4 linked regions of the Saccharomyces cerevisiae S288C genome follow. The protein of the gene in region 1 interacts with the protein of each later gene in a biochemical or structural test. Each region holds a gene or a part of one and is shown in the gene's direction. Other genes may lie near its edges. The genes, in order: MCM7, DIA2, SLD3 and SLD5.

Evidence for each region.
Region 2: of the proteins of MCM7 (region 1) and DIA2, one has a biochemical effect on the other in vitro, tested with the Saccharomyces cerevisiae proteins (5 studies listed by BioGRID).
Region 3: the proteins of MCM7 (region 1) and SLD3 form a complex in vitro, tested with the Saccharomyces cerevisiae proteins (4 studies listed by BioGRID).
Region 4: the proteins of MCM7 (region 1) and SLD5 form a complex in vitro, tested with the Saccharomyces cerevisiae proteins (4 studies listed by BioGRID).

Annotation. Positions count from the first base shown.
Region 1 is NC_001134.8:624,120-632,862, forward strand, and holds MCM7 (DNA replication licensing factor MCM7), read left to right. Parts: upstream 1-1,652; coding exon 1,653-4,190; downstream 4,191-8,743. Other genes in the region: DER1 (derlin), read left to right, coding at 1-92; MIN7 (Min7p), read right to left, coding at 374-577; COS111 (Cos111p), read left to right, coding at 5,049-7,823; LDH1 (triacylglycerol lipase), read right to left, coding at 8,135-8,743. UniProt on the Saccharomyces cerevisiae protein: Acts as a component of the MCM2-7 complex (MCM complex) which is the putative replicative helicase essential for 'once per cell cycle' DNA replication initiation and elongation in eukaryotic cells.
Region 2 is NC_001147.6:473,047-481,044, forward strand, and holds DIA2 (DNA-binding SCF ubiquitin ligase subunit DIA2), read left to right. Parts: upstream 1-1,547; coding exon 1,548-3,746; downstream 3,747-7,998. Other genes in the region: BUD21 (Bud21p), read left to right, coding at 1-323; Mn(2+) transporter ATX2, read right to left, coding at 429-1,370; TGL5 (triacylglycerol lipase), read right to left, coding at 3,893-6,142; transcriptional repressor WHI5, read left to right, coding at 6,487-7,374; LPX1 (triglyceride lipase), read left to right, coding at 7,541-7,998. UniProt on the Saccharomyces cerevisiae protein: F-box protein component of a SCF (SKP1-CUL1-F-box protein) E3 ubiquitin-protein ligase complex which mediates the ubiquitination and subsequent proteasomal degradation of target proteins. Probably recognizes and binds to phosphorylated target proteins.
Region 3 is NC_001139.9:291,794-299,891, forward strand, and holds SLD3 (Sld3p), read left to right. Parts: upstream 1-4,138; coding exon 4,139-6,145; downstream 6,146-8,098. Other genes in the region: AMP-activated serine/threonine-protein kinase regulatory subunit SNF4, read left to right, coding at 240-1,208; YGL114W (uncharacterized protein), read left to right, coding at 1,667-3,844; TATA-binding protein-associated factor TAF6, read right to left, coding at 6,385-7,935. UniProt on the Saccharomyces cerevisiae protein: Required for loading and maintenance of stable association of CDC45 with chromatin during initiation and elongation of DNA replication. Also involved in temporal regulation of origin firing. Required for the association of PSF1 with origins.
Region 4 is NC_001136.10:1,428,617-1,436,004, forward strand, and holds SLD5 (DNA replication protein SLD5), read left to right. Parts: upstream 1-2,395; coding exon 2,396-3,280; downstream 3,281-7,388. Other genes in the region: 3,4-dihydroxy-2-butanone-4-phosphate synthase RIB3, read right to left, coding at 1-364; PAC11 (dynein intermediate chain), read right to left, coding at 572-2,173; serine/threonine protein kinase PKH1, read right to left, coding at 3,352-5,652; IZH1 (PAQR-type receptor), read left to right, coding at 6,308-7,258. UniProt on the Saccharomyces cerevisiae protein: Required for DNA replication. Functions as part of the GINS complex which plays an essential role in the initiation of DNA replication by binding to DNA replication origins and facilitating the assembly of the DNA replication machinery.

The DNA of each region.
Region 1 (8,743 bases):
TTTACTACATGGATGATATAATAGGGAAGATTTATGGCATCGATTTGTGTAAATCTCCGTACGACTGGTTCCGCAACACTGAAACACCCTAAAGGAAAGGCCGTTTTTATTTACCAAAAACCAATAACAAAAGTGAACGCTTGATAAACAAACATACTTAGCATAAATAACTACATATAAAATAGGCCAAGGATAAATGAAACGTTGACTAGAATGAATGAAAGATGTGAAAACAGTACAGTTAAAACTGCAATCCCACAAACTAAAAATAATATGAAGAACCTGTCTCAAATGTATAAATGCAGAATAAATAAGTAGCCGAAAAAGTCTCGGTAATTTTCTCCCTAATGATAACCCATATTTTCGAAAGACTCTAAAACCTGGTGTATGATCGTTGAGAACAAAATTCGTCCTTGTAGTAGTGTGTGTCTTTAGAAGCCATTCGGGCCGGTAGAAGGAAAGGTGTTGTTAGTCCCAGAGTGATGTAAGCAACATAAAACAACGTCGTCAGCTTTTTACTGGGAGCACTTGCCTTGTATGATTTAGAAACTTGTGAAAATGATTTCATGGCCAGCATTGTTAGTCCTCGATCTTTTGTGATATTTCCTATATATTACAAAAAAATTCTTGGTTTTCGCCTTGTCACAGGGAATAAATGTGGAATATAAAAGAGAGGAGAGGAGAGGAAAGAAGAAAAAAAACTTGGTGTCCGTTTGCAGATGGCCTATTATATACCCTGCTTATATAACTCTGAGAATTAGGAATATTTTGCTGTTGCTATGGTAATTAACATATTTCCAACAATAATGACCTTCTCGAGCTATTGTCTTCCTTGCAGTGGCGAAGAAACCACCGGAGAGTTGCAACGAACTGCCTTTCTTAGGAAGTGCGCGGGCTCTCTATTATGATAGGCCGATACGGTACAAAAGCTTAAAGTTGCCTTTGTATTACCTTTTTTAATCGCAGCAAACAATGCGAAGCACAGGTGTTCACTTTCCTTAGCTTCCCCTTTTCCGTGCTTTTGTTTATACTTCGTACAAAAATGAGGGGAAGGTACCAGGCAGGATACCTCACTGATTACGACGACAAGGAAAAGAGTAAAAATAATTTACTGTAAAACTTCCAAATTTGTCTGAGAGCAACAGAATAGAAGCACAAAGAAATGTACCCTACGAGAGACAGAGAGGGTAAAAGAGTAAGTAAATTCTAAAGTGGTGTGAATGTCATAACTTAAACTATTACCCACGGGATACCTGCTAGGTCAACGTAGCCGCTACTCGAATATAATAAGCGCTTCTTGTATATTTTCTCAATAACAGGTCGAGGCCCCTTCTACCCTTGAATGCTACTTATTACTCACTCATAATACATTGTATAAGCCTTCGCGTTTTTCACGGCCTCGAAAAAATTTTTCTTAACTAATTTACCCAGAAAGGAAATTTCCTTATAAGGAAAATAAATGCAATTCATTAAGTCGGTTTGCTTCTTTTTTCACGAAAGTGAGATACAAGCAAAGGACCAGAGCGAGATGTACTACAGTAGCAGGCTACATACACGTCTTTACCAATAACTTACATTTAGAAAGGCAATATAATCACTACCTAGATTAGCTTGAATCTTGCAGGAAGAACTCAATACAGATAGACCAGATTATGAGTGCGGCACTTCCATCAATTCAGCTTCCTGTCGACTATAATAATCTTTTTAATGAAATCACCGATTTTTTGGTGACTTTCAAGCAGGATACGTTGTCTTCTGATGCAACACGAAATGAGAACGAAGATGAAAATTTGGATGCTGAGAATATCGAACAACATCTATTGGAAAAGGGGCCCAAGTACATGGCGATGCTACAGAAAGTGGCTAATAGGGAACTGAATTCCGTGATTATTGATTTAGATGACATTCTACAGTATCAAAACGAAAAGTTTCTCCAGGGCACACAGGCAGACGACCTTGTGTCTGCCATTCAACAAAACGCTAATCACTTCACTGAATTATTTTGCCGTGCCATTGACAACAACATGCCGCTACCAACAAAAGAAATTGACTACAAGGACGACGTTCTTGATGTTATTTTAAACCAAAGGAGACTGAGGAATGAGAGAATGCTCTCGGACAGGACCAATGAGATCCGAAGCGAAAACCTCATGGATACCACGATGGATCCACCCTCTTCCATGAATGATGCGTTAAGAGAAGTTGTCGAGGATGAAACTGAGTTATTTCCTCCTAATTTAACTAGACGCTATTTCCTTTATTTTAAGCCTCTATCGCAAAATTGTGCTCGTCGTTACAGGAAGAAAGCAATTAGTTCTAAACCATTATCTGTTAGGCAGATTAAAGGTGACTTCCTAGGCCAATTGATTACCGTCAGAGGTATTATCACCAGAGTTTCTGATGTCAAACCAGCTGTGGAAGTTATCGCATATACCTGCGATCAATGTGGGTACGAAGTTTTCCAAGAGGTCAACTCTCGTACTTTTACTCCGTTGTCAGAATGTACTTCCGAAGAATGTTCCCAAAATCAAACAAAGGGTCAATTGTTTATGAGTACACGAGCTTCCAAATTTAGTGCCTTTCAGGAATGTAAAATTCAGGAGTTATCACAACAAGTGCCAGTGGGTCATATTCCTAGGTCGCTAAATATCCACGTTAACGGGACGCTGGTAAGATCTTTATCGCCTGGTGATATCGTCGATGTAACTGGTATATTCTTGCCAGCGCCCTACACCGGTTTCAAAGCTTTGAAAGCTGGCTTACTGACAGAAACTTATTTAGAGGCACAGTTTGTCCGTCAACACAAGAAGAAATTTGCGTCTTTCAGTCTGACTTCTGATGTAGAAGAGAGAGTTATGGAATTAATCACCTCTGGTGATGTTTATAATAGGCTGGCAAAATCTATTGCACCGGAAATCTACGGTAACTTGGACGTAAAGAAAGCGTTGCTGCTATTACTTGTCGGAGGTGTTGATAAAAGGGTAGGTGACGGTATGAAAATCAGAGGTGATATCAATGTTTGTCTGATGGGTGATCCCGGTGTTGCCAAATCTCAACTGCTGAAGGCCATTTGCAAAATATCACCTCGAGGAGTGTATACCACTGGTAAGGGTTCCTCAGGCGTTGGTCTGACCGCTGCCGTCATGAAAGATCCTGTCACGGATGAAATGATTCTAGAAGGTGGTGCCTTAGTACTCGCTGATAACGGTATTTGTTGTATCGATGAATTTGATAAGATGGATGAAAGTGACAGAACGGCAATCCATGAAGTTATGGAACAACAAACAATTTCGATATCCAAGGCGGGTATCAATACAACTTTGAACGCCAGAACCTCAATCTTAGCGGCAGCAAATCCGTTGTATGGTAGATATAATCCTAGATTATCACCTCTGGACAATATAAATCTACCAGCTGCTTTACTATCCAGATTTGATATTCTCTTCTTAATGTTAGATATACCAAGTAGAGATGACGACGAAAAATTAGCCGAGCACGTTACATATGTGCATATGCATAATAAACAACCGGATTTGGACTTCACTCCAGTAGAACCCTCTAAAATGAGAGAGTACATTGCCTATGCTAAGACAAAGAGGCCAGTGATGAGTGAAGCTGTAAACGATTATGTGGTGCAAGCTTACATCAGATTAAGACAAGACTCCAAGAGAGAAATGGATTCCAAATTTTCCTTTGGTCAAGCCACTCCGAGAACTTTACTAGGTATTATAAGATTATCTCAAGCGCTAGCAAAGTTAAGGTTGGCTGATATGGTGGATATAGATGATGTGGAGGAAGCCTTGAGGTTGGTCCGAGTCTCCAAGGAATCATTGTATCAAGAAACCAACAAATCTAAAGAAGATGAAAGCCCCACAACGAAAATCTTTACGATCATCAAGAAAATGTTACAAGAAACTGGTAAAAACACGCTATCATATGAAAATATTGTGAAAACTGTAAGACTAAGAGGGTTTACCATGCTACAATTAAGCAACTGTATCCAAGAATATTCTTACTTAAACGTCTGGCATTTAATTAATGAGGGTAACACTTTGAAATTCGTGGATGACGGTACCATGGACACAGACCAGGAAGACTCACTAGTGAGCACGCCTAAACTCGCACCACAAACGACCGCTTCCGCTAATGTGAGCGCCCAAGATTCTGATATCGATCTACAAGACGCTTGAAAGTTCTAAAAAAAAAAGCAACAGGGCCTTCATTCTTTATTCTTTTTCCCCCTTTTTTTCATTTCCATATAGCTGCACATTCAAATTTACCTTCTGTAACTTACTTCCAAGGCCCAGTTTTCAAGATATGTATTCTGTATTATTATAATTTTACTAATATTATTCATCGCTTTTGCCAGCCACAGACCCCACACATTTCGGACTTAACATTATGACTGCGCATGTCCGTGCACCGCGGCCCAATTCTTGTTTTTTTTTTTTTGCGGAGAAAGGAAAATTATCTTCAAGCGGAATAGGGCCAGCTAGTATTGCTCAGATGTGCCTGTGGAGAGCCGTGCTACAGGGTACCGTCAGCCCCTGAGTATACCAGAGAGTACACCGTGCGGAGTTCTTCCAGAAAATGAAAAGATTGTTCTCAGAATAATTCGTAGCGCTTGATAATAATCCGAATTTGAGATACCTGCCGGCACCCATTCTGTTATCGCCAAGAGGACTTTTAGGGGACCCGCAGACAGTAAAATTTTTTTCATTCATTAACATGTGAAGGCAACATTCATCGATCTCCATCCCTACTGTCAAAAATATAAGTATATATATATATATATTTATATAGTCTATATATATATAGTCCCACTCTCAAACTAATATAACCTTTACAAACCTGTCCGCTCAGTACGGTAGTCCTATTTTATTCCGTTTACTAGATTATATTTGAAGATATTTTTTTATTCTTGAAAATCCCGGACGATAGTATTTTTAGCTGAAGAATATTTGCGGGGAGGAACTATATAGACACTCGAAGCAAGAGGGGAAAAGGAGAAAGAAAAAAAGGTACACTAAACAAGGTCGAGTGTATTGATGTCAAGTGCTTCAAGACTTCAAAACGTCAATATTGTTTCTAACAACTATTCTCGTTACGGAACTTCCGTTTACGATAAGTTGTATCATAGTAACGGCAGTGGTAGCAATAATGCTGGTAAGAATTCTACCACAGTTGGTAAACTGTCATCTATCTCACAAAAGTCCAGGAGCAAACAGCGTCATGGCTCAAATTGCTCCAGATCAATGAGTCAATCACCCTTATCGACGTTCAAATCTCCACTCAGCAATCAAAATCAATCCAGCGCTCCTGATGATTTGGCTTCCATAGGTCAGAGACGCAGTGACGACGTCACATCTTTAGATAATGAAACTATCATAACGATGAATTCAAGGAAATCAAGGATTAAAAAAAAGTATAAATCCTTAATCTCCACCTCTTCAAAAAAATTTATGAATAAATTGTACGATCATGGTGCTTCATCCGACTCATTTTCTATATTTTCTCTGAAGACTTCCCATTCTGGTAAACATGAAAATTCCAGATTTGAAAAGCTGAGGAAGAGAAAATACCATGCTTGGGGCAAATTTGCCGATATCAACGATTTACCAGTTGAAATAATTGCCAAAATACTTTCTGAATTCGAGTTAGGTCGTGATCAAAAGACACTCGTAAGATGTCTATACGTATCGAAGAAGTTTTATAAGGCGACAAAGATCGTCCTTTATAGGCTACCTTACTTCACTTCCACTTACAGAGTGGCGCAGTTTGTCACCTCACTAAGATTACATCCGGATAACGGGGCATACGTGAAAGTATTGGACCTATCACACTTGAAGCCGGGAATTATAGGCCAAGACTCGAAGGATTCTCAAGGCCTAGACGATGATGGCCACTCAAGGCGTCACAGACGCCGTCGCCGCAGATCTACTAACACAAGTTTGAATCTACCTCCAGCTACTCCAACATCTACCATTTCTAACGAGGATGATGCCAATAGCGGATTAATCAAAGACGACGCTTCAAATGGCAGTGAAGTTGAAGACTTGGCATTAGCTGGTTGGAGAGACTGGAGATACAGAAATGAACCCCTTTATAGCTCTCCTCTGTTGAACAGCTTTAAACTGAAAAAAGTGGTTTCTCGTTCTTCTTCTATCACTTCTACATCTTCTGGAAATTCCACCGGTGTTCACTCTACAAGGAGACAACGTTCCAATAGTTCCGTTGCTTCCATAACGACGAGTATCATGTCATCCATCTATAACACCTCCCATGTCTCATTGTCTTCAACCACGTCTAATACCAGCAATGGTAACATCTCTTCTGGTAGTAATCTGTCAAGAGTTTCCACTGCTGGATCATTGAAAAAAGCTTCTGCGAAGTCCACAAGGTCATCTCCTCAGAAAGCAAAACCTATATCTGACATTACGTCATCTTCCTGGTTTAGAATGAGGTTAAGTTCAAGAAATAGAAAGGCAAGGACAGCTAATACGATTAATTTAAAGAACTCGAAGGATAAGTCTGACGATGACTTTAAAGTTTTAAAGCACGATTCGGGGCATCCATCCAATTATCGTTCTTCGACATTAAAATTTAGCATTGAACAACCATTTAGTACGCATCATCCGTATGCCAACAAATTTCTTTTAAAGTACGCTCCTTATAAAGATCTGCCCCTAGGTTATATTTTACATATGCTGAACCTGTGTCCTAACCTTGTTGAACTAAACCTTTCCAATTTAGTTATTTGTACCGATTTCAAATTAATCAACCAAAGATCCGAAAGAAGAAGGATGACATCTTCACTGTTGCCCGCTGTCCAGGAGTCTAGTGTTTCTGCAGGCCCTGAGAAAGATTTAGAAATTGTCTATATGACCGATTCTGGCAAAGGTTATGAATATTATGAGGGGTTAAGCAAGAAACACTCACGTTCTTCAAGCCTAGGTACCAATCCATCTAGTTGGATTGGAGGTCAGGCGAATTGGACAGATTACCCACCTCCAATCGATGCACAAACGAAAACAAGAGAGGAACACAGACGCAACAATACCTTGAACAATAAGAACGTCGTATTAAAGAAGCTAAACCCTTTTGAAATTTTTGAAATGATCTGCAATAGAAATGAAGAAAAAGGTGGCTACTGCTCCTTAACTAAGGTGAAAATGAATGACATTGTGTGGTGCAGGCAATATATGGTAAAGTATTTTGTAATGAGGACGTTTCGCCAGCATTTGGATTATAAATCCATGGAAAACAACTCTTATGAAAGACACTTATTCAGTTTCCGGGACTCTGGCTTGGATAGAAATTTTTCCTGGGCTTGTAATGCCAAATTGCATGAATTTGTCGCATTGATGGTTATGGATCATCTTTCAAATTTAGATGATTTAGGATTAGAAGAGCTTTTTAATATCAAGTCCGAAAAGCTATATATAAAAAACTATTGTTGCCGAGACCCGGATATTCTCGAAATATCAAACTTATTTGATATTAGATATGGGGCCGGATCTGAGGCTGATGCTACTTCTGATTCCAATCTCGAAGCAGAATCTTTACAATTCAGGTTGACAATATTAAAAACAGAAAAGCCAACTTCATTTTGGCTCACAAAAGTTTCCAAAGATTATGTTTCTTTAGTGGTTAAATTATGTGTGGATGATGACATTGATATGGACAAAATGAAAGTTGGAAAACCAACTTTGAGAATAGACAGTATTACACACAATTTGATTAGTAGGTTAAAGGAGTTGAGGAGAGTTGATCTAAGGAGAAATGTTGGCGAAAATAACTACTATGCTGAAAGCATCATATAACGACTGCTCTCTTTTAACAGCATACGTTCTGTTAATTTATTTGGCCAAATATTATTGATGTTTATTTTTTTCTTTTTTGCATAGCCTTTCTACATTTCATGGCTTTATTTATTTATATTTATTTTTCGTTTCCTATTTTTTTGCATACATAGACACTACCTTTGATTTTTGCTTGTAAGATGTACGATATAAAGTATACTATGAAAAATTTGAAAATATTGGTCTTAGTTACTTTTTCTGGTTTGTTTTATCAATTCATGTAGCAGTGTGCACGAAAATCTAGTTACGCAATGTGAAATCTAGAAAACCTTCTACAATTTGGAATTATCAATCACCTCTCGTTGAAAGTTTTCACACACCAATTCTGGACGGTCGAAGCATAAATTATGAGAACAGTCAGGTAAAATAATCACTTTACGAAGACATTCTTTATTTATAGTTTGTTTGTAAAATTCCAAATTTTCAATAGGAGCTATAGGATCTTTTTCAGCGCCAAATATTATAATTTTCTGTTTCATATCCGTTTGCGTCAATACACCATTGAATTTAACCCAATCAACAGTTTCCCATCCTAGTAAATAACCTATGATGGTTCTACTTTTGTTGCTTATGTTGTTTTTAAATTGCCAGAACTTCCTGTATTTCAACTTGACATCATCACCTTGTTGATAAAAATACTGCTTGATGCCGGAACTTTGTAGACCTTTTACCTGATCGAATTTGTTTCTATAAACGTCAAATAGCCATGGCAATTTAAACACACCATAGAGAGCCCACTGGATAATATGTTTATCCTTAGAAAGCTGCTCGATATGTGCTTTGGGGGGCGTCAACAAAACTAGCGTTTGTACCGCTTTTGTATCAGCCATGTGCTGCTCGTAAAGATGACATGCCAGAAAACAACCCATAGAATGCCCTAC
Region 2 (7,998 bases), on another chromosome or scaffold:
TAATTGCGGAGCTTCCTGAGGAATTGCTAAAAAATATAGATCAGAAGGACGAAGGTAGTACGCAGTACTCATCTTCAAGACATGTAACTTTCGATAAATTGGATGAGTCAGATGAAAATGAAGAGGCATTGGCTAAAGCTATAAAAACTAAGAAAAGGAAGACATTAAAAAATTTAAGGAAAGATTCGGTGAAAAGAGGAAAATTTAGAGTTCAATTGTTATCCACCACACAAGATTCTAAAACATTACCACCAAAGAAAGAATCATCCATCATACGTTCAAAAGACCGTTGGCTAAATAGAAAGGCTTTGAATAAAGGGTAATATATAGCATACAACATAATAAAATAATAGTACAATCACAAAATTAATCATAATGTTCATTTATCTATAATCAAACAATGAGAATATATACTGAAGTTTGGTAGGTTATTCTTCAGAGATGCAGTACGATATCACCAACGGTATGCAGACACCTATCAAAACATAAACGGATTCATCATGAGGTAAAACGACTTCCTGTTCAACGCTGAGATCGTGATCATGAGAATCTCCACCAACAAATGCTGTGAAAGACGCATATAGTAAACTGCCACCACTCATAAGCAGAAGATTTCCACTTATCCAATCCATCGTTGGCGAATGACTCAGATTCAAAAGGGATAACACTATGTATCCGATCGGAGTCGATGACGCAAACAAGAAAACGTTACAGATCACCTCCCATTTCATTAAGTTTTGTCTCGATACCATCAAACTAGTGAGGGAAAGAACGGCAGGAATTTTATGAATAACTATAGCAATTAACACCACTATGAGCAGTGAATCATTGTTCGTTGTCGTACCTAATGCAATTCCATCAGATAGTCCATGAATGAATAAGGCAAAGACAACATTGTTTTGTATTAAGTTCATCCATATTTGTCTTGGATGGTTTATTATATCTTTCCAGCTTTGAAATTTGACAGCATCATGCGTATAGACCGTTTGCTTTCTAGAAACCCATAGTGTAACCAACCTATCAAGAACATAAACACCTAGAAACCCAATTAATAAATTCACACCAACGTTTCCATCATGTTCGACACACGCTTTGATACCTTCCGGTATTACCAACATAAATGATGTACCTAACAACATTCCTATACCGAATTGTGATAGAACGGCAATCTTCACACGGTAACTACTAACATCGTCATTGATCGTTTGAGTATCTGCGTTCGTAGTAAAATCAGAAATTGAGTCAGCACCTTCTTGGTTTGTGACAATGGAACTTTTTTGTTTATCAATATAATACAATGGGATAAGCCCTATGAGGAAGGTAGCAATCAAAAGAAAACTTGCTAGCAGTATTACACCCAAAAACTTCATTATTATCGGTCTTGGTAACACTAGCTTTAAACCGCGCTTATTTGAGAAGTTTTTATGCAGCTAAACTGTTTCTCGTCATTTTTTTATAGTTATTTCTCGAAAAATATTATAAATAGACATGCAAAATGATTAGCCATGTCGTATAAATTTATTACCAAGAACAAAAAATACACCCCGATGTCTTCCCCAGGGAATTCAGGCGTGGCTATAGATTCTACCGTTCTGAAAGCAATTGAATTAGGAACGAGGCTTTTTAAATCTGGAGAATATTTGCAAGCGAAAAGGATATTCACAAATGCTTTGAGAGTATGTGATTCTTATTCTCAGGAGCAGATTATGCGCATTAGGAACGCGTATCAATTAGATACTGCGAGACCGGATAACAAACGATTATATCATCCTAGATACATAAAGATATTGGATAACATCTGTGCGTGCTACGAAAAATTGAATGATTTGAAATCTTGTTTGGACGTATCACAAAGGTTACTTAAGTTAGAACCAGGTAATATCAAATGCTATATACGATGTACAAGGACGTTGATAAAATTAAAAGACTGGAAAAGGGCATATAAAACATGTTCTCGTGGACTGCAATTATGCAATAACGATAGCAATCATCTAAGACAACAAAAACAATTCATTAAAAATAACATGGTTCAAAAACAGGACGGCAAGAGAAGTTATATAGATCCATTAGAGGAGACCAAAATAGCAAAAAAAAAAAAGAATAATAATGTTCTAGAATCGTTACCAAAGAAGAAGATTAAAGGTAGTACCAAGAAAACTGATTTAGTTGGCAATTTGCCGATAGAAATACTACCTATCATATTCCAAAGGTTTACCACTAAGGAGCTTGTTACGTTGTCGCTAGTTTGTAACAAATGGAGGGACAAAATTTTGTATCATTTAGACTGCTTCCAAGAATTCAACTTGGCACCAATAAATTTTAAAAATTTTGTAAAGTTTATGGATTTTTTACAACAGAATTTCACCAGGACGTATAGAAAATATATTCTTTCACAAGTAAAAGTCAGTTCTAGAATCACTTCGGAAGAGTTACGAATAACTCAATTATTATTCAGTAAAATGCCGAAATGTATAAACATCGAACGGCTTATACTGTCAATGCCAACACTAACTACAACACAAATCTTTAAGTTAATGGTTAGAGGAGGCACAGATTTTTTTACAAGGCTGCTGGAATTATCTCTCATGATAACTTATAGGCCTGATAAACAACATGAATTGGAGATACTGCAGACTTGTCCTCTGTTGAAAAAAATAGAATTAATTTTTGTCAATTCACTGGTACCAATTTTCGACGGAAATAATAGCGTTGGGAGGGATGGAAGTTTCAATGTGATGGCCCGTCATACTAATATGCAGATATCCACTGCGGATAATGATGAACAGGGAATAGTAGAAGAAAAGGTGATTTATAGTGAGCTAGAGAAGATAACATTGATATGTGATAAGAAGAAAATTAAGAATTTTCCACTTTGTCGTGCTCTATTAAGAGGCCAGTTTCCTCTATTGCAGAAACTGACGATAACTGGTGTAACATTTCCTATGAATAATCAAGACATAATGAATTTTCAATGGCTATTGAACTTCCCAGACCTAAAAGAACTATGGATAGAAGATAACGACAACTGTGAACTCAGTAAGTTTTTGCAATTGTTAAAATTTTCGAATGTCTGGAAAAACTTGGAAAAGTTAACCTTTAGAGAGAACAAGCTATATCCAATTGTTAATTTGGATGAAGATCAGCCTGTTACGAATGACGACGAGGTGCCATCCATGCTATTTTACAAGGAAAATCTCCAAAACCTGGAAAAGTTGGATCTAATGGGGACATCGATAAGTGGTTCTGCGTTGACTAGATTATGCGAGCAGGAATACTTGGATGGTCGGAAATTAAGAAGTTTAAACATTGGGAATTGCCCCAACATCCAGTTCCCAAATAATCACGCTCATACAGCAAGGATGATACTGGATGTGAATGCAGTTTTGAAGAGACTCTCCAAGTTGGAAGAAATAAATTTATCGCATCTCAGCTCCTTGAATGATAGTACGATGAAGTCATTCATTATTAATGTACCATTTTTGGAAAATTTAAAGAGGCTTGACATTTCGCACAATTTTGAAATTACAGGAATATCAATATATGAATTTCTAAAAAAATTTCAGATGGATCATGACAACGAAGCGGGAGGTCAACCACTGGCATATTTAAATATTGACGGATGTTCCCAAGTGTCTCATATCACAGTTAATATGATCCGAGCGCAGAACTTAGTTACTCAAGTGGATTGTGTTTATGAAAGAGATGTATGGAGAAAATTTGGAATTAATTCATATTCATACTCATAGATTAATAAATCACTGATGATAATGCAGTATCCTTCGGAAAATTCTTAGAATATTTAATATAACAAAATGGCATGTACCTTTTGGAGTTGATGGAGGTGAGAATATAGAAAGCTTTTTATATAAAAATGTACTTATTGTCTTTCATTTCAATTTTGAAAAATGTCTGAATTGTTCATGAAATTGTCGTTTGTGGCAGCCGACATAGCGTCCATGGGGAACCTGCTTGGATTGAATAAAGTGTTATCAAATGAACCGTTTTCAATAGCCGGTATGGGAAAATCTTCTGAGTTTGTTTGAACATCATAAGAGGAAATTGTTCCAGATTTTTTTCTATTTTTCCTCATCTCTGCCGACATATTTTGATTATAATAAGAAGATCTTTTTTTGAATTGAGGTCGTGATGGAACCTTCAATGGTGATTTCTTTAGCCGTAAACTAGATGCACCGATGGCAAACGATAAAGAATTTGCCTTCTGCCTTGTACCCTGCTGCGTGAATGAAGATTTTGAACGTTGTGGAGATGTAGAAGGCGATGGAGAAGGCGATAACATATCCATTTTCCTCTTGTTGAAGGTAGAAGATGGAGAAGGCAATGGCTGAAGAGGAAATCTTCCCGGTGCCGCTGTTTTGTTGGGAGACTTGATAATTGATAGTGAATTGGAGGAGGATTCTTCCAAGTCAACTCCCGGCAAGTCAGCATCCATTATGGAAAGAGATTTGATTTGCTCACTGAATCGAGGTTGGTAGAATTGTAAAGGGTTTTTTATTGACGAAGAGATTATTATTTTCTCCTTTAGGAATGTGATGGCCTTATCCAAGGCGAATTCTTGGCCACAGTTATTTTGAATCATGGAAATTTTCGGCCAAGTAGCTCTTGCACCTAAAGTAGTTTGGTGCAATAGGAAAAGTTGAGATGGGTTCTTCAATACTTCGTGGAATTGACCAACCATTGATAGATCGGGTAAAATTGTGACATTGCCAGAGTATTGTTGTAAAAAAAGGTGTTTCAATTTGGTCATCAAATAGGGATGGAACTCAAGCTCCTTTAGGATGTCTAAAAAATGAATAGTTTCGTCGGAAAAAAATTTGAAGATCTTTGTTACTTGGTTTCTGAAACGGGCGGTAATTTCCTTTTCAATTTCACCCCCAACGCAAGTGTTTGAAAACTTTAACAGGGGAAAGACATGTATATTTACCTGGCAGGCGATAATGTGGTCGACATTGAACATTTCAGAAAGACGAGAAATGGGCATGTCATTATCTACAGATCCGTCCATGAATTTCATGTTTGATAAATGTAAATTTGTTGCCCCCCACTCTTTAATCTTTCCAGTGTGAGGATCTTTCTCGAATAGCGGCGTGGAGGGGAAAACTCCAGGTAGAGAACAAGATGCGCATACGGCAGACCAGATGAGAACGTTTGGAGCGGTTAAATTGTTTAGTAGTTTCGGCTGTTCGTATATGGAAGCAGGCGAGACTGTGATATTCAGGATTTTTCCAGTCTTGTTGTAGGCTTCCCTAAAGGTCAAGTTTCCTAAAAACGAAAGCATTGTGTTAATCAAAGGTTGATTATTGAACCAGGTACCGTTTTGGCAGAACCTCGATATCTTGATTAGTAAGTTTTCGTTGGGAGATTTGGAATTGTCGTCATTGAAGATGTTAAACTCCATATTAAGTACATTGGTCAACAAGGAGGGAATTTCCTGGGTCGTGTGGACGCAAAATATGCTGGCAACAATGGCGCCAGCACTGCTACCGCTGATCACCTTAGGCATCAGGTCCGATTCAAAAAGGGCGGCAAGAACACCAATGTGGAAAAGGCCGAAAGTGCTCCCACCGCTAAGCACGAGAGCCGTGCGCCCTATGTTTCTTCTCGTCTGTTGCAAAATACCGAGGAGATAGTGATCGTTCATATTTGACTGATGGATCAGCGCGGTGAGCACTGCTTGAGACTCTTCTAGGTAGTCATGTATAATTTGTTTTGTGCCGGTATGCGAGTGCCTGTAAAGATTAACGTTATTCATGTTGCCAAGATTACGGACCCACTTAGTTCTAATCAGATAAAGCAGGCGGTGGTAGTCGTGAGTGGTTCTCAAATGGCGCATACGGATGGTCAAGTCTTGCAGCAGCTTATAGTTATACAACGAGGACTCGTCGATTGTTTTCCATTCGGAAAGTCCCGTTAAGTCGTCTAATCGCGACGCTATGTCATTCCATTGATCGTAGGAGATGGCGTGTTTTTTCTGGGAAGACAAATCGGATATGAGCAGCTGTTTACGGGAGAGAGTCTTGTGGTATAACCATTTGAAGAGCGATGATGAGTCTGTGGCAGGAGTGTTGGAAAGTTCGTAGTATTTGGATAAAAGAAATTCTGTTACTGGCAAGGTATTAGACATAGCAACGAAACAGAACCGTCTTCCTTGTGCTGTTTATGATGTCTTTTGTCTCCTATTGTTTTCGAATTTTATTTTTTTTTTTTTTTATTTTTTTATTTTTTTTTGTTTTATATAATTCCTCGCGCTGCCTTAATGATAATTCTTGATTTACTAATTGTTTCATGACTTCTGGTGCTAAAGGGAAGGGGGAAAAGGGAAGCGAAAACTTCAAGAGCAGAACGAAAAAAATAAAAAAAACAAAACAAAACAAAACAAAACAAAGGCAAAACAAGGCAAAGAACCTGATGGAAGAAAGCACAACCAGATATTAATAGCAACGAAAAATAGTAGAGACATTGAAGAATATGAGTTTGAGAACGCCGAAGAGAAGCAGGACTAGCGATGAACAAGAACAAGAACAAGAACAAGAGCAGGTACAGAACCCAGATACACATGTAAACAACGAGCATCAGCAGCGACCTGGGCCAACCACTCTATTGAGCACGCCAGTACGTCTCAAAAATGGCTTTGGAACACCATCGCCGCCGTCACCACCAGGCATAACGAAAAGCATCACTAAATCGAGAAGAAGGCCGTCGACAACGAGTCTTCAGGGTATATTCATGTCGCCCGTCAATAAGCGTCGTGTCGGCATAACCGCACATGGACGTGTATATGACCATAACGACGACGGACACGAAAGTGAGAGTGAGGACGACGAAAATGAAGAAGAAAATGAAAATCAAAAGAAGTACGACGGACACGTTAGTATGCCTTTGTTGCCACCGACAACGCCCAAGTCAAGACGGTCGGAGGTGTTTCTGTCGCCGTCGCCGCGTTTGAGGTCACCTCCGACGGCTGCGCGTCGGTCTACGGGCGAGCGGCCCATCCGCGAAATATCACATACTTTGCGCACCAGGCTCAATTACGCGTTAGTCAAGCTGCAAAATGGATGGACGGACAAGACACTTCCCGAGCTGGAGACGGAGCTTGCTCCAGCAGTGCAGACGCCGCCACGTCGCTATCACAACAGATTTCCAGATAGTGCAGACGCGGGTACTTCCGCGCATACAGCGTTTCTTCAGGCGCTCGGAGGCCACCCACCACGGGAGGAGGCCACGGCTGTCGAAACACTGATGCTATTGTCGTCGCCTACCAAGAAGCAACAACACCGACCCGTGCCGGCGACATCTGCTGGAGAACCCACGGACGAAACGGAGCCCGAGTCGGATACCGAAGTGGAGACGTCTTAATGTGGTAGTACGAGTTTTTTCTCCGCAATCTCGGAGTTAGTGCAGCCGCGCCCGCTGCTGCACCCTTTAGCATATATATAAAGTGCGTAATGTGCGTGCTAAAAAAGCTCACTAGTGCGTACTCTGCTTATCTCTGCGTATCCGCCGATCAACATCCGCGGCTAAAATGGAACAGAACAGGTTCAAGAAAGAAACGAAAACTTGTAGCGCTAGCTGGCCGCGCGCACCGCAGTCGACGCTGTGTGCGACAGATCGCCTCGAGCTCACATACGATGTGTACACTAGCGCAGAGCGGCAACGCCGCTCTCGCACTGCCACTAGGCTTAACCTTGTGTTTTTGCACGGCAGCGGCATGAGTAAGGTGGTATGGGAGTACTATTTGCCGCGTCTGGTAGCCGCCGATGCGGAGGGCAATTATGCCATCGACAAGGTTTTGTTGATCGACCAGGTTAACCACGGTGATTCTGCGGTACGCAACCGCGGCAGACTCGGCACCAATTTCAACTGGATCGACGGGGCCCGCGACGTGCTCAAGATTGCCACATGCGAGTTGGGCAGTATTGACAGCCACCCGGCACTAAACGTAGTCATCGGCCACTCGATGGGCGGGTTCCAGGCTCTTGC
Region 3 (8,098 bases), on another chromosome or scaffold:
AAGAACCCACACACCACACGCGCGAGAACTGGGAGGGAGAGAAATTTAGCAAATAACAAAATTTAGGCCTTGGAAGAAACCATAGCAATGCAATAATCGTTATTAACATAATATCTACATTGAGAACTTCTTGGGCTAGTGGTTTTGCTGCAAACTGGAAAATTGTATCAATCTTTTAACGTTAGCTAAACATCTTCTGCTGTGTTAGCATTAGGAGGAAGCGAAAAGGAAAATACATAATGAAACCGACACAGGATTCACAAGAAAAGGTTTCTATTGAACAGCAGTTAGCTGTAGAATCGATAAGGAAGTTTTTGAACTCGAAAACATCTTATGACGTGTTGCCTGTTTCTTACCGTTTAATTGTCTTGGACACCTCGTTGTTAGTGAAGAAATCACTGAATGTTCTTTTGCAAAATAGCATTGTCTCTGCGCCATTATGGGACTCCAAGACTTCCAGGTTCGCTGGACTTCTAACTACTACAGATTTTATTAATGTCATCCAGTATTACTTCTCCAATCCAGATAAGTTCGAATTAGTAGACAAATTACAGTTAGATGGATTAAAAGATATAGAGCGTGCTCTCGGTGTTGATCAACTAGATACAGCTTCAATTCATCCTTCTAGACCCTTATTTGAGGCGTGTCTTAAGATGTTAGAATCAAGAAGTGGTAGAATACCACTGATCGATCAAGATGAAGAGACACATAGAGAAATTGTCGTTAGTGTTCTTACGCAATATAGAATTCTGAAGTTCGTTGCTTTAAATTGCAGGGAAACACATTTTCTAAAGATTCCAATTGGGGACTTGAACATTATTACGCAAGATAACATGAAAAGCTGTCAAATGACCACTCCGGTCATAGACGTCATTCAGATGCTTACCCAAGGTCGGGTTTCTTCCGTCCCTATTATTGACGAAAACGGCTACTTAATCAACGTATATGAAGCATACGATGTCCTAGGCTTGATAAAAGGAGGCATCTACAACGACCTGTCATTGAGCGTCGGAGAAGCCCTTATGAGGAGAAGTGATGATTTTGAGGGTGTTTATACATGCACTAAGAATGATAAATTATCTACTATTATGGATAACATCAGAAAAGCAAGGGTGCATAGATTCTTTGTAGTTGATGACGTCGGACGGTTGGTTGGTGTCTTGACGTTAAGCGATATTCTCAAATATATCCTTCTAGGTAGCAACTGAAACGAGCCGATGAGATTTTTGTGTACATACTATAAATAAATGCAACTAATAAAGTCATGATTAATCAGTCATGCATACTTCATCTGACCAATATATTTTCATCTTGCTTATTTTGGGTATAATTCGGCGGAAATTCGGTTATAAAGCGAAGTGAAAAATCGATTAGTAATGATACTGATGCGATCTCTGGGAGGGGGGAATGCTGCATATAAGGGTGAAGGAAGATAATGCAAAGCCTTTTGTAGTATTGTCTGTTGATACCAAAATAAATTAGTTCATCAAAAAGGTACAGGCAGCTAAAGAAAAGCTGTAAATTTAACGCCGTAGAAGGTATTTTTCGTGAGATCTATCTCAAGGCATCATTTTTTTTATTTTCGCACCAAGATAGGAAGAAAAAGAGTCACAGTATAGAGGACTAACCGTTAAAGATTCTAAATCGGTACTGTAAATACTTTGAAATGCCTCAATCTACTCCAAGTCAAGAAGTACAGCGTGTACCATGGGATAATAAACCTGCTTTGAAGCAGATAACACTCCGAGCAACCATAGCAGGTATCGCTATAGGGTCTCTGGTGCTAACATCAAATTTTCAATTTGGCCTGCAAACCGGTTGGGTTTCCATGATGTCCCTGCCATCGGCATTGTTAGCTTGTGCTTTCTTTAAAAATATCTGGCCATTAATATTTCCGAACGACAGGCCTTTCAGTGACGTTGAAAATGTATACGTACAAAGTATGGCAGTAGCTGTCGGAACAGGCCCATTAGCCTTTGGGTTTGTCGGCGTCATACCTGCCATCGAGAAGTTCCTTACTAACGACGAAAGTGGTGGATTAAGGGAACAAGGACAGTCCTTCACTTTTAGAGAATTGTTAATATGGTCCACAGCCCTAGCATTCTTCGGTATTTTTTTTGCAGTTCCTCTAAGAAAGCAAGTAATTGTTAGAGAGAAACTTCCCTTCCCCAGTGGTAGCGCCACGGCCACTTTAATTTCAGTGCTAAATGGAACTGAGATTTTACAAGAGGTTTCTAAGTCAGAGTTATTGGAAATGAGGCAGAGGAGATTGAATGAATGCCCTGAAGTGCTACAACCCAACAGAGATCCAGAGGAGGCGGATTATTTAATGAACTCTTCTCATAGCGAACTTGGTGATTATACGGCAACTAGCCAAGATGGAAGTTCTATCCTTTCTACTGGCTCTGAGAACTACAGAGCGAATATTATTATTTTATTGAAAACTTTTGTTGTTTCTTCGCTTTACACCATGGTGTCATATTTTGTACCGGTAATACGGTCTATTCCAGTCTTCGGAAAATACCTCTCGAACAATTATCTCTGGAATTTTCAGCCGTCGCCTGCGTATATAGGCCAAGGGATAATAATGGGTCTTCCAACAGTATCGTATATGCTTATCGGGTGCTTCTTAGGCTGGGGTGTGTTAGCACCATTGGCGAGATACAAAAGATGGGTACCACCAGATGCTGATGTCCACGACTGGGAGGAGGGAGTGCAAGGATGGATTCTTTGGTCGTCGCTTTCAATAATGGTTGCTGACAGTGTAGTCGCTTTTATTGTTGTGACAGTGAAGTCCATTGTGAAATTTATTCTTATAGATGACAAAGCTGCTTTACTGAACAACATAATCGATGATACATTTCAATCTATGTTACTGGAGGAGGAACGCGCCATTAATAGCAGCAGAAGAAATACATATGTTGATGGAAGGCAGGACACCGTAAGATTAGTGAGTAGAGATAACGAAATAGAAGTAGATTCGAAGCATTTGGTTCGCTATACCACCGTTATCAGTGGATGTCTAGTCTCCTCGATAATATGCATTGTTTCCATAATATATTTGTTTGGGATACAAGTAATTCCCCTATATGCTATTATCACTGCTTTGATACTTGCGTTGTTTCTATCTATTCTCGGTATTCGAGCACTTGGAGAGACCGATCTGAATCCTGTGAGCGGCATTGGTAAGATCTCTCAATTGATTTTTGCCTTTATCATACCAAGGGATAGACCTGGATCAGTGTTAATGAACGTGGTATCGGGAGGTATTGCAGAAGCCTCTGCCCAACAGGCGGGCGATTTAATGCAGGATTTGAAAACGGGGCACCTCCTCGGCGCCTCCCCAAGAGCTCAGTTCTGTGCCCAATTGATAGGGGCCTGTTGGTCAATTATTTTGTCTAGCTTCATGTATTTGTGCTACAATAAAGTTTATTCAATTCCGAGTGAGCAATTCAGGATACCGACAGCAGTAGTGTGGATAGATTGTGCAAGACTAGTAACTGGTAAAGGGCTCCCTGATAAGGCCTTGGAGTGCTCCATGATTCTCGGAGTCATATTTGCCGTTTTATCATTAATCAGAAACACTTATAGAGATTACGGATACGGGTGGATATTATATATTCCGTCTGGTGTAGCAGTCGGTGTTGGTATATTTAATTCTCCCAGTTTTACAATTGCAAGATTCATCGGCGGGTGGGCTTCGCATTTTTGGTTGAAGAATCATAGGGGTGACTTAAATGCGAAAACAAAAATGATTGTATTCAGTTCGGGGTTGGTCTTAGGTGAAGGTATCTTTAGCGTAATAAACATGCTCTTCATCTGCTTAAATGTCCCTCACTATTAGGTATATAATATTTTACTAATAAAGAATTTACAAAGTTTACAAATTTTAAATTATTTACTCATCACATAATTCGATGTCTTAGATTTCCCTGTATATATATTTCTAGGTGACAAAAATCCTAGGCAAAATGTTATATTATACGCGACCTTGAAATATCGGCTATCTTGGTGTACAACATGGTCCATTTAAGAAAAATAAAAAAAAGTGATGGGCACTGTTAAAACAGGCAGAAGCCTCATTCATAACTGCTGAAGGGTTAAGATCGTATAGGTAGGAACGATCTGACCTCTCATAATGGAAACATGGGAAGTCATAGCATCGGTAAAAGAAGCAACAAAAGGCCTTGACTTGAGCTTAGATCATCCACTTATTATTAAATCCGAGGACGTGCCCAGTAACATTCTCCAATTACTGCAACAGAAGAATCGACGTCAATTGAAACACATCTGCATGAAATCAAGAAAAGAGTATTTTCTACTAGAGGAATATGGGCCAGGATTTTGGGTTAAGTGGCCGTACAATTATTTCAATGGTTACAGCTTACCAGAAAGGCGTACGGAAGTTGTAACGACAGTTGAAAGAGAAAGAGCTAAGCGTGAAACGTTAAAAACATGGGACGAATTGAAATTTAAAGAGCTTCTTCATTTATGGTCAGAAGAACCCAAGGGCTCGTGTAAGCTTGAGAAGGACAAAGACCTTAAACTGGATATGAATCCCCCAGATATGAAAGGCGAATCAAAAATTAATGACTACTATTCAGACCCTAAAGAGTACATAGAAAGTAAGTATTATGATGCTCTTTTTTCCATACATACGCCTCTCGCATATTTCGTCAAGTCAAATTTAGTAAGGCTCAAAAATACCTGCCGAACCAAGTACGGAAGTGACAGTTACAAAATAGCCTATCAAGCCATGCTGCAAAAATTTCTTCTCTCAATTGTACAATTCAAAGATAGACATGATAACAGGCTTTTATTAGAGCCCTTTTCTAGTCCCATAGCAGATGAAAAAAGGAAGAACTGTCTCACAAAATTTGTTATCCAAGATGAAAACAAAAACAGCTCAACCATTGCTGATTTATGTGTTGTATTAAAATCCCGCGAAATAAAGCTACAAATATTATTGCTATTAGAGATAATAGGATTGAACGATTTAGATTGGAATTTTAGAGATTTTGAGAAAAAGTATAAATTAAAATTGAAGAAAAGATCACTTAATTTGACAAAAAAGGGATTAGTTCGTCGAAGATCGAAGAAAAAAACCAGCGAAAAAGACAAAGGAATCGAGAGAATAACAACATCTTTGGATTATTGTGAACAGTTAGACTTGTACTTAGATAGAGCATGCATCTTGGACATTCTACTATCAAGTGAAACGCCCAACCCAGATGCCATAGAAGCATCAAATGGAACAATACAAGAGCATAAAAAAAATATCCTAGACAAAAGCAAAGAAGCCTCATTGGTTGGGTTCATAAATTATGTTCTTATTCCATATTTCAACAAAAAGGTACCACACGCCGTTGAATTTATAATTCAAAAGCTCAAGGGACCAAGCATGAGACCAAAGAGAGCCCTGAAAAAGGTCAACGATAGCACAAATGTATCGTCACCTAATACTGTAGAAACGTATAACAGGTTATCCACGAGTCAACGTGCCTCTCGCTCTTCAATCATTAATTCCGTCCCATCTTCACCCGCATTGAGAAGGGTGGACGCTAATTTGTTCAGCAGAAAATCTATAGCTTCGCCCACCCCTGAACTTTTGAATTCTAGAACGAACTCTAACTTGAATGAATTTCTCGAAAGTGAAACTAGAAGCTTAAAGCGCCCTTCACAATTGGGAAGGACGAAGTCTGATCTAACGATGAATCATTTACAAAAACGGCAGTTTTCTGTCTCTGACTTAAGCACAACAAGAGTACCGAATTCATCAACTATCACACTCAAAACGCCTTTCTCGCACTCAACTATTAATGCATACAAAACTATGAATAACTCTTTTCGCAGAGTTGGGAAACGTAAAGATATCAATGAAACGATACGCCTACATGAACGTGTAGACTCTGAGGAAAACGTACAAGTTCAAGCCACTCCTGCTGTGAAAAAAAGAACTGTGACACCTAATAAAAAGGCGCAACTTCAAAGCATCATTGAATCGCCGCTAAATTTCAAGGATGATGATACGCATGAAGGCAGAAAAAATACCTCCAATATTACCTCTACTCCCACTAATAAGCCCCCGGAAAATAGCTCAAAAAGGAGAGTAAGAAGACGTTTATTTGCTCCAGAATCCACATAGAATAAGAAACTGCGAGACCACCTTCGCTGGCAAGTAGTTGACCCAACTCCATCTTTGTAGCTTTTCTTGGACGAAAAGGGAATAAAATAAAACTAAGCTACAACAATTTCGCACTTCGGGGGCCTTTGAGTATACAATTAAATAACTCATCATGCATATATATATATATACATACAATGGCGTATGTAAAAACTGTTATATAACATTACCGTTGTACTATTAGTATAAACCGATTCTCACTATTCGCCAAAAAATATCGCACTAATTAATTCTTTTGCGTCGTCTCTTTTCAAAATGTGAAATCCAATAGTGACACCACACCTCTCTAGCAATTTTTCCTTATCCTCATCCGTAACTTTTTCACCTTTACCCTCGTACAAATCTGGTAAATCCTTTTTTAGAACTAACAATGCACTAATTACAGTATCAACCAAGATTTGAGTTTCTTCTTTAGTAAATTTGGTCCTAGTTGGATTGGAGTCATCGTTCAAATGTTCCTCTATATTGTCTAGAGTTATTCCGCTTTCATTGAATACCAAGCGCGCCCAATTATTTAGGTTTCCTAAGAAGAATCTGATGGATTCACCTTCTAGTACCGATACACCCTTTAAGCACCCATAGTAAGTCCCAAAAACACGGTTTATGTCCAAAAATGTCTTTAGCAGTGTCCTAGTTACTCTTGGCTTCAGGGATTTGTATGCTTGAGGAAATTTTTTCAATACATAGTCCAACAAAGATGCGGCAAAATCACGTAGTGCATTCGTTCTTTCTAAAAATTCATGAATTTCTTGCGGCGAATCATCTTTTGGTGATCCACCAAGTTTTTTTGCTAATAGCAAGGTTAAAATGGAAGGCATTAACGAATGAATATAAGGGTCCAGGAAAATAGAAGTATTGCTTAGTAAAGAGTAAATCATTTCCAAAATTGTTGTTAGCAATTGTAAATCGGAAAGATTTTGTGTGATTTGTTCGGCAATAAATTGAATAAAATATGGAACCAGTTGGTGCAGGCCACTATCAGTTCGTAGTGAAGTCAAAGCTGCTTGTTTCATATGCTGTGCAGCTTCATCAGCTTGACTCTTCGCTGTCAAGGTTGAAATGACCTTATTGAAATAAATCTGTAATTCTTTGGATAAAACGTGTTTCACTAAAGGTTTGACTTCAGTATTCTGTCCTGGTTTAACATTAGACAGGTGTTGAGAGGCGCCTGTATCCGTCACAGAAGCACTTGCTGTCGTCGACGTTACAGGTGTTTGGAGGCTGTTATCATTCAAAGCAGTGACAATAGCACCTCTAATAAATGGTGGTTGGGATACCCTTATATCATTCAAATTTGGATTTTGGATTATGGCAGGTTGAACCCCTTCAACTGCTAGCCAATGTGTAGTAAAAGTTGGTAGACGAGGCACTTGCGGTAATGGCTCATTTATTAATCTATCAAAATCTACTTCTTCCTCATCCAGGTAGTAAACCGACTGTCCTCCACTTGTGTTAACCTTACTAAATGATACAGCTTTATTAACTTCAGAGCCATCATAATATCCATATAAAGGTTCCACATTCAGAACACGCAGGGCCTTCGATACATCGTCTGTAGTTAAAACATCTCTTTTAGAGTGTCTTTTAAACTTGACTGCCTGTTCAATAATCTCTAGAATACGGTATTCAACGTCCATAGCAAGTGCTTTCAACACGTCATCGTTGATATTTTCCAACCCAAGCGACTCAGCGACATCTTTAACAGTATCTTGTGGAGACCAAATTGTGTAAGATTGCTGCTGTGTAGACATTTTAACAGGCTATCAACTACACTGAGGCGTCCTTTGCTTCCTTTTTAAAGCCAATCTATTGTTTTCGCTCATGAACTACTTTTGCTGCTACTTGAATCGGTGTTTGTTATTGATGGTTTCCGGGTATTTTTTTGGTAATAAAATAAAGCTGAAAAATTTTGTA
Region 4 (7,388 bases), on another chromosome or scaffold:
TAGAGGAAGAGTCTGCAAGAGCCCTACAAGTCATCGACCTGTCGTGAGCAGAAATACCTGTGGTAGTGCCTTGGGCTACATCTACAGTTATTGTGTATGCAGTTCCATGCCTGTCGTCATCATTGGATTCAAACTTCATGCCTGTTCTCAGTAGTGGAAGGTCCAACTTATCAGCAATGGCATTCGTCATAGGTGCACAGACGTAGCCTGAGGAATGGCGTACAAGAAAGGCCATTTGTTCAGTGCTGACATTTTCAGCAGCGCAAATAAGATCACCTTCATTTTCACGACCGGCATCGTCCATAACAATTACAAACTTATTCTGCTTGAAGTGTTCTATAGCTTGATCAATTGGTGTAAACATTTTCGACGTTGCCTTTTCTTCTTTTCCTTTCCTTTTTTTTAGCCTTCTGCTTTTTGTTGGAGATATTTACATTCACCTCACATATATACGCCAATGAAAATTTCACAATAGCACGTATATTAATAATAGCCTTGCTTTTTTTTATCAATTCTCGCTAAGAAATTACTCATCAGGCAATAACCTATGCTCACCCGCCTCGAAGCGGCGTTAGGAGATAACAGTGGCCGTGTAGAGGGACGTCTTAGCATCGAAAGCCCAATTTACAACAACGAGGCGACCATCTGCACACCACACTTGACACCGTAGAGTGCGACTATTTTCCCCTCCATTGTTTTTTTCGAGCCAGCGTGCACGTAGTACGGGCCCCCCTAACAACAATGGCGCCCCTATGATAGCTTTCCCTGCTCGCGCGTCCCACAGCCGCACCGTCCAGTCCGTGGAACATGATAATAGAAGCATTAGCCGCCGAGCATCGTCCCAATGAAACTCTAACCCGGTTACCCTCGTAGAGTGGTTTTCTGCAGGTTGGAACCCATTGTTGTCCAAAGAGAGGTACAGCGGCCCAGGTTGGTCCCAGAAAACCTTGTATATACCACCGTCTTCGCCACCGATCCAGACGTACTGCGGGTCCTCACTCGTGTACGCCATGCAAGCTATACCTACCTCATCAAACTTTGCCAACCGCTGCAATCGCTCCGTATATGTGCAAGTATCATTCTCCAAAGATAAAAGCTGTGATAGCGGTACAGGACGGAGCTGCTGTGGCTTCCGCAAAACAGTCAAGTCCAGGCAGCTCAACTCCATAATATTGCCATTATCAGCTGCCACAAGTACTCTCTCTTGATCTTGCACGCTGCTTGTTTCAATTACAGCCACCACTGGGTGCTGAAAGTAGTGTCTTGCCACCATATTTCGCTGCACGACATACACTACCGGTGTTTCTGGCTTTTTCTGTTTCAATCTAAGCTCGTACAATATGATCTTGCCCGTCAAGGTCGCCAACAAGATTGATATTACATTGCTTTCCGGATGATACCGACGGAGGATCGTGGCTGTCATGATCCGCGTACCACGGAACTCTACCATATCTATCAAGAGGCCGTTGCGTCCGCTGGCATTATCGCACTTGACTACATTCACCACAGACCACGCCGCTTCGCTGCTAGCATACTGTAGGTCTGCCGGCGGCAATCGTAGATAAACCACAACCAAGACGCCTTTTCCTGGGTCATACTCCTGAGCGATACAATCGCAGTCTGTCTCTGATTGTAAATTCTCACTGACCATGTTCCATTGCATGAGGTTGTCTTTATCCTGTTGCATGTTCGATGGCGCCTGCTGGCCTGACGCAGAAACCTCTGTCTCCAGCCGCGCAAAACTAGCGTTGCTCAGCGTTGCCGCCGCCTCTTCAACAAGAAAAGGTTTGGCTAGTTCTAACCTTGGCTGGTCGTTTTCAGCTTTGTCTTTATTATTTTCGTCGGCAGCAGTAGTTTCAATGGCGACAGCATCAGTAGTGGTGTGATTTTCATTTTCTTGCAGTTGTTCTTCCTCAATTTGATCTGTTTGAATGCCTTTGTCGTATGTTATAACCTCCTTACGTCGAAGATATGCAGATTGGGGCTCTTGAATCTTTGAGCCTTCCTCCATGTCGGTCTGCACTGAAACGCTGACCATGGTTGCCTTAGCGTGCACCTCTGTGGGATGGTGGCCCATCGTCTCGCTCCCAGGGAACAAGCTGGCTTGTTTTCGCCTCTCACGCAGCTCTTTCAATTGTCTCCTTTTTTCCTCCAGTTGCTTCAATCGCTCCATCTTAATGTTTCAATCCTTCTTCCTCTTTGGTTGATTAACCAACTGTGATGCTCTTTTTTCCCTTTTCTCTTTGTTTACGGCAAAACACGAAAACTAGTTCATTTCTTTTTCTTTTCGCCTTGGACTAGTACTGAAAATTTCAATAGCATTATATTTGAGCCATAGGTAAGAAAAACCAAATTTGTTAGTATTGGGAAGGAGAATAAGATACCTGACTCGGTGATGGACATTAACATAGACGATATTCTTGCAGAACTGGATAAGGAAACTACTGCTGTCGACTCTACCAAGATCACGCAAGGTTCTTCTTCCACTACCCACAGAGATGCAAATACAATAGTGGGTTCGTCCTTAGACTTGAATGACAAGACTCAGATATATGTCTCTCCCCAGCAGGATTTTTCTGACTTGATGAAGTCTTGGAAAAATGAACGGTGTTCGCCAGAACTCTTACCATATCCTCATCAGTTGATGAAAAGATTATTGAATCGAATATCCATGCAATCTCAATTAATTGAAAACATTTCAATGGGATTCCTCGATATGCAAAATGCTTCTAATGCGAACCCGCCTATGCCTAACGAATCTAAATTGCCTTTACTCTGCATGGAAACTGAGTTAGAAAGATTGAAATTTGTTATTAGAAGCTACATACGATGTAGGCTAAGCAAAATTGACAAATTCTCACTTTATTTGCGCCAATTAAATGAAGATGAAAATTCGCTGATCTCTCTTACAGATTTACTATCCAAAGATGAAATCAAATACCATGACACGCATTCCCTGATCTGGTTGAAACTAGTCAATGATTCTATCCTGAAATACATGCCCGAAGAACTTCAGGCTATTAATGATACAGAAGGTAGCGTAAACATGATAGATGAGCCCGACTGGAACAAATTTGTCTTTATACACGTTAACGGCCCACCAGATGGTAAATGGAACGAAGATCCGCTATTGCAGGAAAACGAGTTCGGTAAACCTTGCTACACGGTCACAATACCCGATTTAAAGGAAGAGGTTGAACTCACTATTGGAAGTATTTACGTTATGAGATATGAAGTCATTAGGGATCTGCTGAGAGACGACAAAGTTGCTCTTATTTGAACTATTATGCATTACACTTTCCCCTTCACCATGTCTTACATATGCATATATATATATTATCAAGCACAGTTTCATTTTTCATCTGTCCGTGTCATGTTTTTCCGCATTTGTGTCGATCTTGCCAGCAATTTTGAGTAATTAGATGACGATCGGGTCTGCAACGAAGTGGGACGTTTTGTGTGAAGTGCGCCTTCTTCGGGTGTCTTTAAGATGCAACGGTCCGGTAAACCATTTATTAGCCTATTCGATTGAGGTACGGGAGGAGCTTGATTCTTTTTTTTTGTATTCTGTCTTTTTTGAAGAATGAACTTATCAAACATTTTATGGTCCGACTTCGGCGATACTACTTTAGGTTTGGCGGTCATTCCATTATGTATTAATTTCCATAGTTTCATTAAAACTGCTCTCTCTTTGCATCCTATGAAAATCGTCCTGGAACCGTCAATTTCAAGGACTTGATCACTTATAAAGCGTATCTTCTCAACGTCATTCAACTCTAGTTCGAATTGCAATTCAAATTCCTGTTCTTCCCACATGCTGAGACTTCTTCTCTTGACAAAAACAAGTGCTCTGCCTAGGTTTGTTATTAGAAACATTTTCTTGTAAAATTTGCCTGCACTATCAGTAGGAGGCTCGATATCAAGAGGGTTCTTGTAGTCCAGAGCCACGTTCTCAAGACCTACAGGTGAGTCCTCTAAGTTTCGTGTGGAAAGCGCTACCTCCTTCATCAACAAGACACGTTCATCCATATTTTGCAAGTAGCGTGACCAGAAGGCGTCAGAAGAGCGACTTCTATTATCTTTCCCCCGTGATGTAGTAGAAATTGAAGGAGATGATACAGATGCGCGATTTTTTGAAACCTTCTTTTGAATTACCTCGCGATCTGTGTTGTTGGAGGCAGATCTAACAGATGTGCTTGACTTGCTCCCCAATTTGGGTTGACTTGTATAATCTTTATTGAATGCGGCGGTTGCTGCAGTCATACTGATCACAGAATGCTCTTGAGAGGTCGCTGCTGGTGCTTGCAGGGGAGTATCTGCATGTCCATTACCAGCCAGCTGAAGGTTGGCCATTTTGACAGTGGTATCAGATTCAGAAACCTTTTGCAGGGGCTTCATCGCCTCTGCATTTATTTTATATGGCTGTATCTCCGGTGGATTATCATCCCAAACAGAACCATCTTCAAAGTTGACTTCATGGAAAAAGAGGTGTGCTTTGATCTGCTTTATGGTCAATCTATCATTTGGATCCCTAACTAATAGTTTTTTAACTAAATCTTTTACTATTTGCGGAAAACCTGCAGTAAACGCATATTGAATCTTCATTACTTTTTGGAATGTCAAATATTCATTGGCAGCTTTAAAAGGCGGTTTTCCCGCAAGCATTTGGTACAATATGCAACCAAATGCCCAAATGTCACAACGGGAATCTGTATAATTATCATTCAGTAGCTCAGGAGAAACATATTCTGCGGTACCAACAAATGATTTCGACTTAGCATACAAATCGAAATAAGGCTTGCCATCTGCGGTGTTCGAAGGTTCCTCCGGTAAAATTTTGGCTGTACCAAAATCCGTCAACTTCACTTTCATATTTTTGTCGAGCAATATGTTTTCGGGCTTGATATCCCTGTGAATAATGCCGATATTATGCAAGGAGTCAACGGCATCGATGATCTGCGACGCATAATAGCGTGCACATGTCTCGTTTAAAGATCCATATTTCTTAATCAAGCCCAAGAAATCACCGTGGGGGGCATATTCTAGAAGGAAATACAAGCTTGCCTCGTCCTGGAAAGTGAAGAAAAGCTTGAATATGCCCTTGGTGCCATTCAGCTTCTGCAAAGCCAATTTCTCCACTGTGACGTATTTAACTTTTTTTTGACGGATCAGATATTCTTTACTCAACACTTTTACTGCATATTTCTTGCCCGAATCACGGGCGGTAGCCAGAACAACACTAGAATATGATCCATCCCCGAGTTGCTCTCCAAACTTGAAGTCCTTTATTCCCATCTTGACAACATGCTTAGTTAACTCCCCCGTAGCTGGGTCGACAACATCTTTGACGATTTTTGCCGCACCACGTTCTGCCCATTCTTCTCTTCTACGCCTCATTGAGGGATCAAGACCCATCTCGTGCTGCATACCCGGGTCATCATTTGCCAGGGGAATGAAGCGATTAGTACTAGTCAATGCCTTTTCTCCAAACTGACCTTGTGGAGAAGCCTGTAGTTCAGACCCGCTCTGAGAATTGCTGCCATCTACGAAAGGACGAGGATACTCTTGCGTTTGTGTATGTTCCGCAGATGTCGGTACCAAGGGCTTGGACAGCAGGGCGTGGTCTGCCTCTGTCAAAGACCTATTTCCCATATTAATGATATAGTAGCAGTATTCAAGCAAGTACACGTGCGCAAGTTGTACCAGATAGTGACTGTCCAGCGTTACTTTCTCGCCTGCTCTGTATTACTCTTGTTGTCACTCCGCAATATCTCAAAGCCATTAATATGTACTAACTTGAATTTTTCATGCTCCCTTAAACGAAAATAACCCTACTGAGATTTTCACCTTTATAGGGTTATATGCTAAAATAAGTAGGTCTTATCATGCAACCTTTAGGGTCCAAGCCCTTAAATCCGACAGTCGGGCAAGCCCATTTTCCCAACGATTTTTCAACGGTTTTTTTGCCTGCAGGGCATCGGCAATTTGACAATACTCACGACCGATGGATGCAGCAATCAACGTAAAAACCTTACTTAGCCGGTTACTCATGTATATGTCAGACATATATACACACGCACACATATATATATACGTACATGTTGGCACCCTTCTGTTAATAGAATTTGATTTCTTTTCTAAAGGCATATCAGTATCATCAGTTGAAACAGTAAGGAGCTCCGCAAGCGCAATATTAACTTTACAAAAGTGATTCTGGTTCCTAACTTTTCTATTGTTTTCCATTTTCGTCATTCGTTTTGTTATTAGTCGCCTTAATTGAGTCAAGCAAGATAAAAGAAGAAAAAAAATGAGTATCACCACTACTAGAAGAAGAAACCAAGATAGTGTCTGCTGCAAGGCAACGAGAGCCTCCATTAAGGTGGAAGCTGTCTCAGGCCAGACAGTTTTTGAAAAGCAAAAACTGCTACACAATTTCGATGAGTTGCCAGAATGGCAAAAAGATAATGACAAAATTCTCACCGGGTACGTTCGTGAAACACTGTCATGGAAAAAGTGCTTATATTCTTTATTTTATTGGAACAACGAGACTGTGAACATTTATACACATTTGGTACCGGCTATCGTATACTTCGTGTTTGCCATTACGTTGACCAACTACTTTCTAATTCCCGTTTTCCCCTCCACTTCCTGGTCCGATTACACCGTTATAAACATTTTCTTGATGGGCGCTTTCTCATGTCTCATGTGCAGTAGCTGTTTCCACTGCATGAAGCAACACTCTGAAAAGCAAAGCAATTTCTGGAGCAAGCTCGACTACTTGGGGATTATCAGTTTGATTTCCTGTTCTATGATCCCTATAATATACTTTGGTTACTTCGACCACATATCCTACTTCAGTCTTTTCACGATTGTTACTTTAGTCCTGGCAACATTTTGTACAGTCTGTGTCCTCCACGACAAGTTTAACACTTCCACATTTCGTCCATTTAGGGCCATGTTTTTCATATTGTTTGGATTTAGTGGCTTACTCCCATTGACCACAGGGTTTTTCAAGTTCGGTATCCAAGGGGTTCTTAACAGAATAAAAGTCAGCTTTGTGTTTTGGGAAGCTCTCTTTTACATTTCAGGGGCTGTAATCTACGGGTTTAGGATTCCTGAAACTTTGGCTCCAGGGAAGTTCGATTTCTTCGGTAGCTCTCATCAAATATTTCATATTATGGTGGTTCTTGGTTCTGTATGCCACTTGAAAGCCATTATCGATTCTTACAAATTAATGCATTCTCATATCCACCCTTGATGGGCCTACAACTACTACAAAATCAAATAAATAACATTATATATCTAAGGTTAGAAAATAATTAAATGCAAAAAAAGTCTTTATTCCTTTTTAGATATTCGTCACATCATGCTTTTATCATAGATCGCAT